2 linked regions of the Arabidopsis thaliana genome follow. The protein of the gene in region 2 interacts with the protein of the main gene of each other region in a pairwise test. Each region holds a gene or a part of one and is shown on either strand. Other genes may lie near its edges.

What was found. The genes of interacting proteins can lie anywhere in the genome.
Region 1: the proteins of INO (region 2) and TCP8 interact in binary tests that used the Arabidopsis thaliana proteins (3 or more experiments, as listed by UniProt).

The regions. Positions count from the first base shown.
Region 1 is NC_003070.9:21,511,277-21,516,649, forward strand, and holds TCP8 (TCP family transcription factor), read right to left. Parts: upstream 2,914-5,373; 5' UTR 2,610-2,913; coding exon 1,404-2,609; 3' UTR 1,056-1,403; downstream 1-1,055. Other genes in the region: AT1G58090 (F-box and associated interaction domains-containing protein), read left to right, coding at 1-349; AT1G58110 (Basic-leucine zipper (bZIP) transcription factor family protein), read right to left, coding at 4,643-4,845, 4,983-5,109, 5,213-5,288. UniProt on the Arabidopsis thaliana protein: Can specifically bind site II elements in the promoter region of PP438/PNM1.
Region 2 is NC_003070.9:8,315,095-8,320,869, reverse strand, and holds INO (Plant-specific transcription factor YABBY family protein), read right to left. Parts: upstream 3,574-5,775; 5' UTR 3,541-3,573; coding exon 3,346-3,540; intron 3,249-3,345; coding exon 3,111-3,248; intron 3,010-3,110; coding exon 2,859-3,009; intron 2,766-2,858; coding exon 2,717-2,765; intron 2,598-2,716; coding exon 2,522-2,597; intron 2,386-2,521; coding exon 2,287-2,385; intron 1,847-2,286; coding exon 1,766-1,846; 3' UTR 1,379-1,765; downstream 1-1,378. Other genes in the region: AT1G23410 (Ribosomal protein S27a / Ubiquitin family protein), read right to left, coding at 5,460-5,775. UniProt on the Arabidopsis thaliana protein: Essential for the formation and the abaxial-adaxial asymmetric growth of the ovule outer integument.

The DNA.
Region 1 (5,373 bases), about 13 Mb from region 2:
AGATCGGTTTTCAGTGTTAGAACAATCCAAAAAAACAAGGGAGATTGAGATTTGGGTGACAAAGGATCAAATTGGTAACGGGGATGATGGAGACGATGTGGTGTGGATTAAGTTCATGACAGTCTCAAGACCTGACTTCCCCATATTACTTAGTTACATCTCTACAAGTTACTTTGTCGATAATGATATCCATGGGAAGAGCTTTGTTCTGTGTTGTCCTAGCAAGAGACCTAAAGCAGCTTGGGTGTATATTGTGAGGGGAGATTTGTGCAAAAAGATTAAGATAGATCAAGTGCTATGTGAGTTTCAATCCTCTGTCTATGTTCCCAGTTTGATCACCATTCCTTGAGAGTTGAGAGACTTTCGCTGAAGCTAGTACTGAACAAGAAGAACTTTTACAAGTTTTAAATTCATTGTTGCTTTCGTATTATTTAGATATTATTTAATAAAGCTTTTACAGGATTGATTTCCACAATTTGTTCGGCCTAATTCGGTTAATTGATAATCTAATTTGTGAGCATGGGAAGATATACGACGTCCTTTCTCTATCAGTGATTCCTGTTTATATACACTATAACCTATCGCTCAAATTAGGAGAATACTGTAACCAAGGAAGTTATAACATAAGCCAAAATGTTAGCGCGGACTAGGACAAAAACAGAAAACTAACTTAGTGCGTGTATGTTGTCTTAGAATAATATCATGTGTACAAAATATTTGAACCAAACAACTATCTATTTCCCCAAAGTTAGTTTTAGCACTCCATTGAAATTAATAAGAGAACGGAAGCCCAGTGACACTGAGTATTGAAAATAAACATTAATGAGTAGATGTATACAACCTAGCTTGCTTAAACCATCTAGGCATGTTATTAGAATATCTATCATGTAAGTATCCAAACTCAATTTTTTCCAAGTAAAGAACAGTGTGTCTTATATTATATACATACTAGTGCCTTGAAAATCCTTGTGCCAGAAAAAAGAACAGTTGCAGAAGACCTTGCTCGATCGAAAAAGAAATCAAACAAAAGTAGCATACAGAAAAGAAGTGAGATCTGTCACCAACTCTTTCACTGGAACTTATTAATTGCGATTAATTATGCAATTTTTATTCTTTTGGTTTGAATGCAATTTTATCCTACAAAAATATAAGAAACTCAACAATGAAAACTGAAAAATCGAAAAGACTATCATTCCTTCTATACATTGAAAACATTCTCTACCCATGAGAGTCCATTTGGACCCAAACCTAACAATTCCTTCACACATAAATTGTTCTTGTCTAAACACTACTAAACAACAACACACAAAATCTCACAATAAAACAATCAACCAAACCGCTACAAACGCTTTAAATCAATTTCTTACCACATTCAATGATTTCACAAGATTAGTTTACATCACTCACTCAGAGCTATTTGAGTTCTCCTCTCTACTATCATCATCATGATCACTCTGTTGCTGCTTCTCTTGATGCTCCACCGCATTGTTCGCTTGTTCCGCATTCGCGTTTGCGTTTCCGCCTCTTGAATAAGCCGAGTTCAAAGCGGCTAACATCCCGAGATTCGAGTCCGGCATACTTAGTCCTAAGTTCTGAGTCGGCTGCGGCTGAGCTAAAAAAGAACCTAACTGAAGTGGACTTCCTCTGTACTGATCCATCGGAAAACTAAACCCCGTTCCCGCCATAAAGTGAGTCGCTGCTCCGCCTCCACCTCCCGCTCCTCCTCCAGCAGAGTTCACAAATGGCCACATAGGAGGAGCACGGTGGCCTGCGGCGGTGTTATTGTTGCTACTACTCTCCATTTGATTACCGGCCGTTGTCGGTACCGGAAGCATCCAAAAAGTGTTCCCAGCACCAGACCTACTCGGCGGCGCAACCGCCCACATCGGCGCCGCCGTAGGACCCGACGTTTCACTTTCTTTCAAAGATTTATTCTCGTTCTGTTTCCGATCATCGTTTTCTTTAGACAAATCAACCGATCTATACCGTTTCCTAGAGAAATTCTCACCTTCAGGAATAGTTTCCACCGGATCTTGATTCTGATTCTGGTTCTGGTGGTGTTGAAGCTGATGATGAAACCCTAAAAGCGGCGACGTATGAGCAGCAAACACACCGCCGCCTCCTTGTTCATCATACTGATGATGAGTCAATCCAAGAGCACCGTAAAGCGGCACCGATTTCGACGGCGGAGCAGAGAGAGTCGATCCACTACTTCGTAACGAAACACTTAAAGTAGAGAAGTTCGCCGGAATAGTTCCTGTACCTGTAGCAGCAACAATAGCTGGCTCAGCTTGTTGAAGAAGCCATTCAATAGTTTCACCATCGGATTTATGACCTAACTCTCTCGTTAACTGAAAAACTCTAGCTGCACATAGCGCCGGCATACGAATCCGACGTCCTCTTCCGTCGACTTTCGTGTGACGGTCTTTAGTCGACCGCTTCGTTGTAGTCGCCGTTGCCGTAGATGAGGTTGTTGCGAGTGTTGAGTCTTCGGGAGGTGTAGATCTGGGAACGATTGAGAGAGATGCGTCAACTAGCTGTCTTGCTCCTCCTCCGGTGGCGACGGCGGCGGTGTCGTTGTTGTTGTTTCGGATGTCGGAGAGATCCATTTTCCGGTGAGAAAGAAGGGAAAAGAAGATGAAATTGAAATTAGGGTTTGGTGAAAGAGGAAGAAACGGCCATGGAAGCTCCGATTGTCGCCTTCAAGTTTGACTCTTGTCTTCTTCTTTGTCTCGAGAAGAGAGAGAGAGAGATGAGAGAAAAAAAGGTTTGATGATGTAAAAGCAGGTGGATGACTTTTCCAGCAAGAGGATATTATTATTAAAATAAATAATATATATGCCGTCATTAACATTAAATAAAACGTTTATTGATTTTTGATTAGTTATTATATAAATCAAAAAGTAATTAGGGGAGAAAAATAACTTTTCACAATTATTTTAAGTCTTTTTTATCAAAATTCTACCCAAATATGAGTTATGTTATTTTTCAATTACATTATTTTCATCACAACATTATTGTTTACCAATTTTAGAGCACCAATAAAAAAAGGTTTAAAAAAGATTTGTGGATTAAGAAAGTTAGAAAGAGAGAGATAAGCATCTTTCAGACAGTGAAGCGTGCGTATTTTTGCAGGTGGGGACAGCTCATTACAATCCACCTCCGTATCTCCATTTCACTTTTGTCTTAAATATTTTTAGTTTTATAAGATTTTGTTAAAAGTATATCCATTAGATAAATGACACTAAATTCTTTAATTAGTTATATAGTTTTGGGAAAAAATGCACTTTCAAATCGTTACAGCTTTTTGTTTTAGACGTTATTTTGGTTATAGATTCATTAACATATCAGTTTGTAAGAATTTGGATCACAAATTTGATCATTCAACCAAATTAAGAAAGACATCAAACGTTACTCGTCAAGAATCCCAAAGAAAGGATGGACAAAAACTTATCTAATTTGGAATTTTCTAGTATTTAGAATTTATGAACCGGTTGAAATGGGCCGGTCTGTTGTGGCCCAAACCCGAAAAATTATTTATGAACGGGTTTCCTCCTAATTTAATATGGTAAGGCGTTGGGGTATTTGGGTCTTTTTGGGTTTACGGTTCAGTTATTTTAAGATTTCAGATTCAGATCGGGTTTTTTTGGTTTGGATTCGAGTTCATCCGGAATATCCAAAACTCAAAATTTTGTATCAAAATATATTTAAATTACTTGAAAATACACAAAAAAAATTCCAAAAAACTTGAGTATTTTCTATCCGAATCTATCGAAAAGTAGGTAAAATATCCAAAATATATACAAAATCTAATATTTTATGCACTTAATAGTTGTTGTAAATATGATTATTACTAATAAATTATTTTTATGTATATATATTTCAGATATGTTCAGAAACTTGATCGGATTCGGGTTTTGTAGTTTAGGATCTGATTAGGTATTTTAAAATTTTGGGTTTGAATTCAGATCGGGTTTTTAGGGTCAGGTTCGGTTCGGTTCTTCGGGTTCGGGTATTTTGCCCACGCCTACCAAAAACATTTCTAATGTAGCCGTTTCAGTTTCCTCTAAAACCAAACGACAACAATGCTAACCAGTTTACTTTCTGATAACAATTGAGTTGATATAGGCCCTTCAAGAGGCTTGACAAAGAGCAATGAAATAGCTGTAAATGTGCATATAAATTAAGTGCAGATCTGAGGCAATCAAATATTTTGACGCTTGGGGATAGTACTACAGAAAATGGCAACAACTTTACATGAAGCATTCACTCGAAGGGAATGCACCATTTTACAAGTAACATAAAATACAACAGTGGGTATCATAGTACAACTCCAGAGATGAGTCCGGGTTCGAATATATTCGTCCCATATATTACACAAGTCGCTACAACAATCACCAGATAAATGAAGTCCAGGTGTCTGATCTTCGAACTAAACCACCTCAGGCAAGCCATCTCCTGGAAGTAATATAGGATTTCCAGGTGCACTGGTGAGTTAACTTGTCAACCATAAGAAAAGAAAAAAAAAGAAACGACGGGGGAGTTAAAAACGTCTGTGGTGAGGCGGTAGATAAGGGTCTGATCTTGTTGAGTCGCCAGGCCCTTAAGATCTCTAATGAACCAGTGGGTAGAGAGACATTTACTAAAAGTGGAATTGACCCATCACAGATACAGAGTCACGCCTACAGTTGGAATCTTTGGTGTTCAGTGAAAGACTGGAGAACTGAGAGTCGAGATCTTTGCTAGTAGCACGTCCGCGACTGGCTGATGGTTTTTGAGTTTGTTGTTGTTGCTGATACAACGCTCGTAGTCTCCCAATCTCCTTTTCCAACACTTCTTGTTCCACTGGATAATAGACAGAACTCATGAGGTATACAATCTTAAGAACTGTTGAATCTTGATAACTAGCTAATACTTACAAACTCATACTCTAGACTATAGTTTGAACCTTAAGAACCTAAAAGAAACTGCGAGAAACTTACATTGTTTGATAAGCTTCTCCTGAGCTATACTTTCGAGACGCTTCTTGAGAGCTTTATTTTCCATACTCAGAATAAGATTCCTCTGGTTGAGAAAATCAAGTTCAGCTGAAACTTTGGAGCCTTCTGCCTATAGTCACAAAATAAAATCCATACTTCAGTGCTGCACAAATTGTAATCTACTACATCTTTCACTTACTCTCTCTTTGAATGCAAGTTTTTTTGAGCCTTACCTGCAATGTCTGTACATTTCTTTCTAGCTCAGATATGTACTGGAGCTTACGGACCCGTGATCTTTGTGCAAATTGCCTGCAGGGAGCAGCAAACTAAATGAGTACTGATCATTCTATATTGCTTTGAATAGGTACATCAATCAAGAACGAGTAAAGAGATC
Region 2 (5,775 bases):
TTTTTTCTTCTTATTATCCCCTCGCCGTGACAAAAGACTAACGAGTTTAATTTTTGATCGGTTCAGGTTTAAGTTTTAACTATGGTTTCTTTAGATTCATGAGATCCACTGGCAGTTTACTGCAAAAAAAGTCAATGATATAATAAAGGATTCCGATAGATCCAACTCTTGATTTTCATGCATTTGCAAGATCAGACTTGCTCTGGTTTTTTAAGCTAAAAGAAAAAAGTGCATGTTAATATAGTTTAGGATGAAGTAATTTATACTGTCAAAGTAACTTCAATCATGGAAATTGATTTCTTTAGCTTTCTTGTTTCGTGAATATTGATGGTTATATATTTTATATACTAGTAACTTAGAAAGATCAAATTAATAATAATTTGTGTAAAGAATGGAGGACTCTAAAACCTCTTCATTCTCTCTAAAAGTAGATCTAGATCTCAGTTTGCGTTGGCTGGCTTTGGTGGCTTCCATAGCGCCGGAGCTATGCGTCTCTTGCTCTGTTGTAAAGTTTATGTTGCTTTTACTTAGTTTATGTGCGTTGTGGTGTAGGGATTTTCGAATGGTTCTTAGATGGCTTATGTTGTTTTTGTGGGTTGGTCTATGTTGCTAGTAGCGCCTCTTGATCCGGTCATGTTTTAGCCTTCTTCTCGTTTAGCCTCTTACCAGGCTTGGTGGTTGCTTTCGTTTCTGTCCGGTTCGATCTCCTCCCGTTTTTCTTTTTCGGTGTGGTCCGAATTGATTTGGTTCTCTCCTTGTCTCTACTCTAAAGATCTGATCGAGATCTCATCTGTTCATTGGCTGGTTTCCTTCGAGGCGCTAAACAATCATATTCTTTAATTCGCCGATTCCGGGAGTGTAGGTGTGACTTGTCGTCTTTGGCCTAGTTCTTCTCGCCGGTATGGATTCCTTGGAACTCTTCTATGTAAGGTAGTCTTCATCGTAATAGGTGGCACCGCTGTCCGTTTGGTTGGGAGTTCCTTGTCTCCTACGGAGTGGCTTGTTGTAAAGCTCTGCCTTTCCTTTGTCTGGTAATGTGGTTGACGAGATGTTGTGTTTAAAATTTTGGTTGTTTTGGTCTGCTTCTTTGTTTCAGTTTCGCAACTTTGCTTTGTTTGTAAGGTTTGTTTTGCCTTGTTGTCTCCCTTTCCTTTGGGTTTTGCTTCCAAGACTATCCTTTTAATCGTCGGCTTAGTTTTCTGGTGTTACTTGTTAACCGCCGGCTTTATATTTCACTTTTGTATTTCACCGGAATCTCTATAATAAATTTTCAGACGACAAAAAAAAAAAGTAACTTAGAAAGGTCAAATGTCAAAACAAAAAGTGTTTTTTTTTTAGTAAGTGTTTTTCTCCATCGTACGTACAAAAGCATTGAGCGCGCGAAGTCAAGAAGGATCTTTATTATGATAGGTTAACAAAGATTCTTACTAAAGTACTGTTTCATGGAATGTTAAAACATTCATGGAATAAGAGTAGTCATGAATGCAAAAGTAGAATTTTTTTTATAGAGTCAATGCATGTCTCTTCAAATTAAGTTCAAAGTTGACAAGTACTACGAAATTACTGAACAAACTCGCTCATTCCCAAGGACTCTTCTCGAACACACACAAATCCTACTTCCGTTTCAGATTCTTCTTCTCTCTATCTCTCTCCAACAACAGAAACCCTAAACCAACATAATCAAACCCTAGAAGAAAAGAGTCACCATCACATGTCATACGCCATTATTTATTTTTTTGTTAAATTTTCATATCCCAAATTGTTATTACTCAAATGGAGATTTTCCCCAAATGGAATGCCTCTGAGCCTTTCTCTCTCGGAACCCATTATTGCTTTCTTCATGGTCCTGCATCACAAACATTTCAACAATTATTTGGTATATTAATTGAAAACTATACATATTCAGCTTCAATGTTTTAAATTAGTTGAATGGGTTTCTATAAAAGTAAACTGTGTGCAGTGTAAGCTTCAATACTATAAAAGGGTTTAGGTCATAAATTTCACACATTGTAGTAGTTGAAGATCAATGATATATTCTCACAATCTCACTTACCCTTCTCCTTGCTTTCACTCTAATAATTAGTAAATGATTTCTCTTTATATAATTAGTCTAGCTAGGGTTCTGAAATTTTGACTGAGAGCGATGCTATTTGGATCTAGTTAATGCTTTAATTATTTGGTTTGCTTTGGAAAATGACACTTGTTGTGGAGTTTACTTGTCAAGAATATGGTAATTGATTTTGAAGCGAAAGTGATTAAAAAATATAAATGGTTGCTGAGGATTACCTCAAAAACATTGCATGGTAGTATCGCATTGTTATCTTCCTCACAAAAACATTGATCTGAAGCAGCTCTCTTGTTGTGAGCTGGAGGAAAATGGGCCCACTTCGCCATCCCCAAATCAAAAAATTGAAATCATAAAATGTTATTAGCTAACTCGATCTGTCAATTAAGCTAACAAAAAGATGAAAACTATATTAGGGTTTTCTTTTAAATCTTAAGACTAATTAAGCTTAAGTACATTTTTGGCAGCTAAGCTGAAAGCTTCCTTGTGAGCCATGCTTGGATTCTGAGCCTTTAACCTCCTGATCTCTTCCCTGCTCCAATACAACCCCCAAAGAAGAACCATTTTACAAACTCAAAACCTTAAGTGGTTAAATTTGTAAGAATATATATAATATACATACACATGTAATGTGTTGAATTTATTTCTTACTTGATGAAGCAATTGTAAGCTGAAGGAGCTCTTTGTCGCTTCTCAGGTGCTATATATATACAAACTCAAAACATAATTAGACGACTGATGAAAGGAGAAATCGCAAAACTAAAGTTTAAGTTGAATTTATACTCAAACGTACGTTTATTGACAACTTGGTAAACACGAGACACATCTTCATCTTCATTGTCTGAAGATGAAACCAAAGTCGTTGGACTGTTCTCCTTCTCCTGATTCACCTTCCATGCTTCTTCTTCCACACCATCTGTAGCTGCAACCTCCTCTTTCCCGGTCTGCACATATATTTACATATAATCAAAAGTAAGTATATATATATATATATTGGTCATATTTAGATGGTGTGTGTTTGTCTATGTATAGATGTTATGGAAACCTCATCAAGATGGGAGAGAGAAGCAAGGAGATGGAGAGGAATGAAGGAAGCCTTCATCAAATTGACAGAGAGAAGGCTTGTGCAATGCCCACATCTCACAGTCACCACCATTGACAAGCTTGTAAACGGTACACTCACCTGCAACACATTTACACTCATTAAACTCATGATCATATATATAAAGAGAGGAAGGGAGAAAGGAAGGGAGAGAATAAGAGAAGAAGTTAAGGTATACCAGCAAAATAGTGGTGCAAAAACCACACTGGACATGGCAAATCTGCCCCGGCAGATCAAATAGATGGTTGAGTGTTGTCGTCATGTTGGGGAGCTTTGTCATAGAGAGTGTGTGTGTACGATGAATGATAGGAGATATATGTGTGTGTGTGTGTGTGTATATATAGACAGAGAGATAGGTTTTGTTAATATTCATTAATGCAAATATGTAATTATATTTATATCTTTCATGTGGAATGCTTTGGTTATATGCTAAAATGCACAATACAATTCAACTTATGTACGTCTCTATCTCACTTGTAATAATTGGAATCTTCATAGTCTCTATGAGCTGTAAGCAGTAAATGATTCTCATTCTTTCTATTAATCACATTCCTAACTCCTTAATATTCAAACTACATTTTCTTCTCTAAAATAAAATAAAATAAAATGATGTATATAATACTTTTGTTGATGATGGAGTTTAATTAAGAATTTTCGTTATACAAAAGCATTGTTATAAGATTTTTATGTTATGTCACACTCACAAAATATATATGACAAATGATACATAACGTTTGAGCGTTTACCATTAGAGGAGACATTTTTTGTTGTCAAAACAATTTAAAACACTTAATAACCTATAAACAGAAAATATATAAGCTCCCTTCAAAAACCATTTCAGGATTTTTCTGATAAATAAGCATACAAGATAATATGTGTTATTGTAAGATAACACTAGGTTAAACAAAAAAATAACAAGAGATAAAAATCGATGGTAAAGAGTATGAGTATTAAAAATGAACATGTGAAAATGGAAAGGCACGTTGCACAAGAGGAGATAGATAGACATCGAAGAGAGCTGGGGTTAATAAATGATGTGATGTGGTGGTGTGGTTTGGTTTGCAAGTTAGAAAGAAAGAAAAAAACAAGTGAGGTTGAGAAAGAAATGCCTCTTTGTCTCATGTGTAGTTGTCTCTTTAAATGGGATTTAATGAATCTCTCACAAAACTCAACAGTCTTTTGGAGTTTTGGTTGAAGTGAGACTGAAAATGAAAGTGCAGTGAGTTGAGACTAGTGCGGGTGTTTCTAGGAGACTCATCACTTTTAGTAACTCGGAATCTTAGGATTTTGTCTTTCTTCTCTCACATTTTTGCTAACTGTTTCTTGACCATTTTACCCAAACTCTTCTCTCTCTCTCTCTCTCTATTTCTTCAAGTTTCAGTGCTTTCTCTCTGTGTCATGTTATTTCTACTGTCCCTCTCTTTATTGCTTTCTCTCTCTCTCACTTACTCTCATCTCCTATTTTGTGTTCAACCACAAGAAAAAGACTAAACATAATACTAATATTTACTCAATTTCCTACACATTTGTAATTTTTGTGTGGGTGGAATCCAATGCAATGACCCAACCCCGGAGTGAACAAGTTTCGACCCATTTTGAGAGATCACATAATTTACCGACCCATTAATAAGTTTCGATCCATTTTCATAAGCCTATTGATGAGTAATTGAGTAGGAGGTACACATTTGTGATTTGAGAGATTAGAGGTTAAAATTATACATTGTAATCATAGTTATGGCTTCTGGTTTAACAGTCTTTTACTCCATATATACTGATATACATCTCATTTCTAGTCTCAAACTTTTACATGACAGCTTATAGATTGGTCAAATCTCACTGTTAACATAAATAGAAGCTGTGAAATGACGATAAAATGTGCAAAGACAAACGCACGTTAATGTCAAACACATAATCAATATCTGAGAGAATTTAAACTTATCTTAGCAAACAAGTTATCAGAGCCAACAACAACAAAACTTCAAGACATTGGTGTAAGAATATGATCAGAATCAACATAATGGCTAAATTTTGCCTTGCACTAATCCAGGTTAAAACTAAAACAATGTCGCAAAGAATTGTTCCAACACAACGTCCTAATTCTACAGCCACAATTCAACATTTCCACATCAGTCAAAGCATAATGAAACAAAAAAAAAATTGATCAAATTTCTAATCAAAGATAATATAATGTATTATGCAACAATTAAACCATCCCTCAATAGTATAAAACCATCTCAAAATATCTGAATTAAAAAAAAAACAATCTAAATTCCAAAAGCAAAAAGACATAACCTACTCTTCATCAGCCTTCTTGAACACGTAAGTAGTTCCACATTTCCCACAATAATGCCTATCGAAATGACTCGCCATGAAAGTTCCAGGACCACAACTAACAGAAGGACACTCTTTCTTCAACCTCTGAACTTTCCCACTTCCATCAACCTTGTAAAACTGCAGAACTGCTAGCTTCACTTTCTTGTGCGTATGCTTAATCTTCTTAGGTTTCGTGTACGTCTTCTTCTTCCTCTTCTTCGCACCTCCTCTCAGACGTAGAACCAAATGAAGCGTCGACTCTTTCTGGATGTTGTAATCAGCTAGTGTTCTTCCA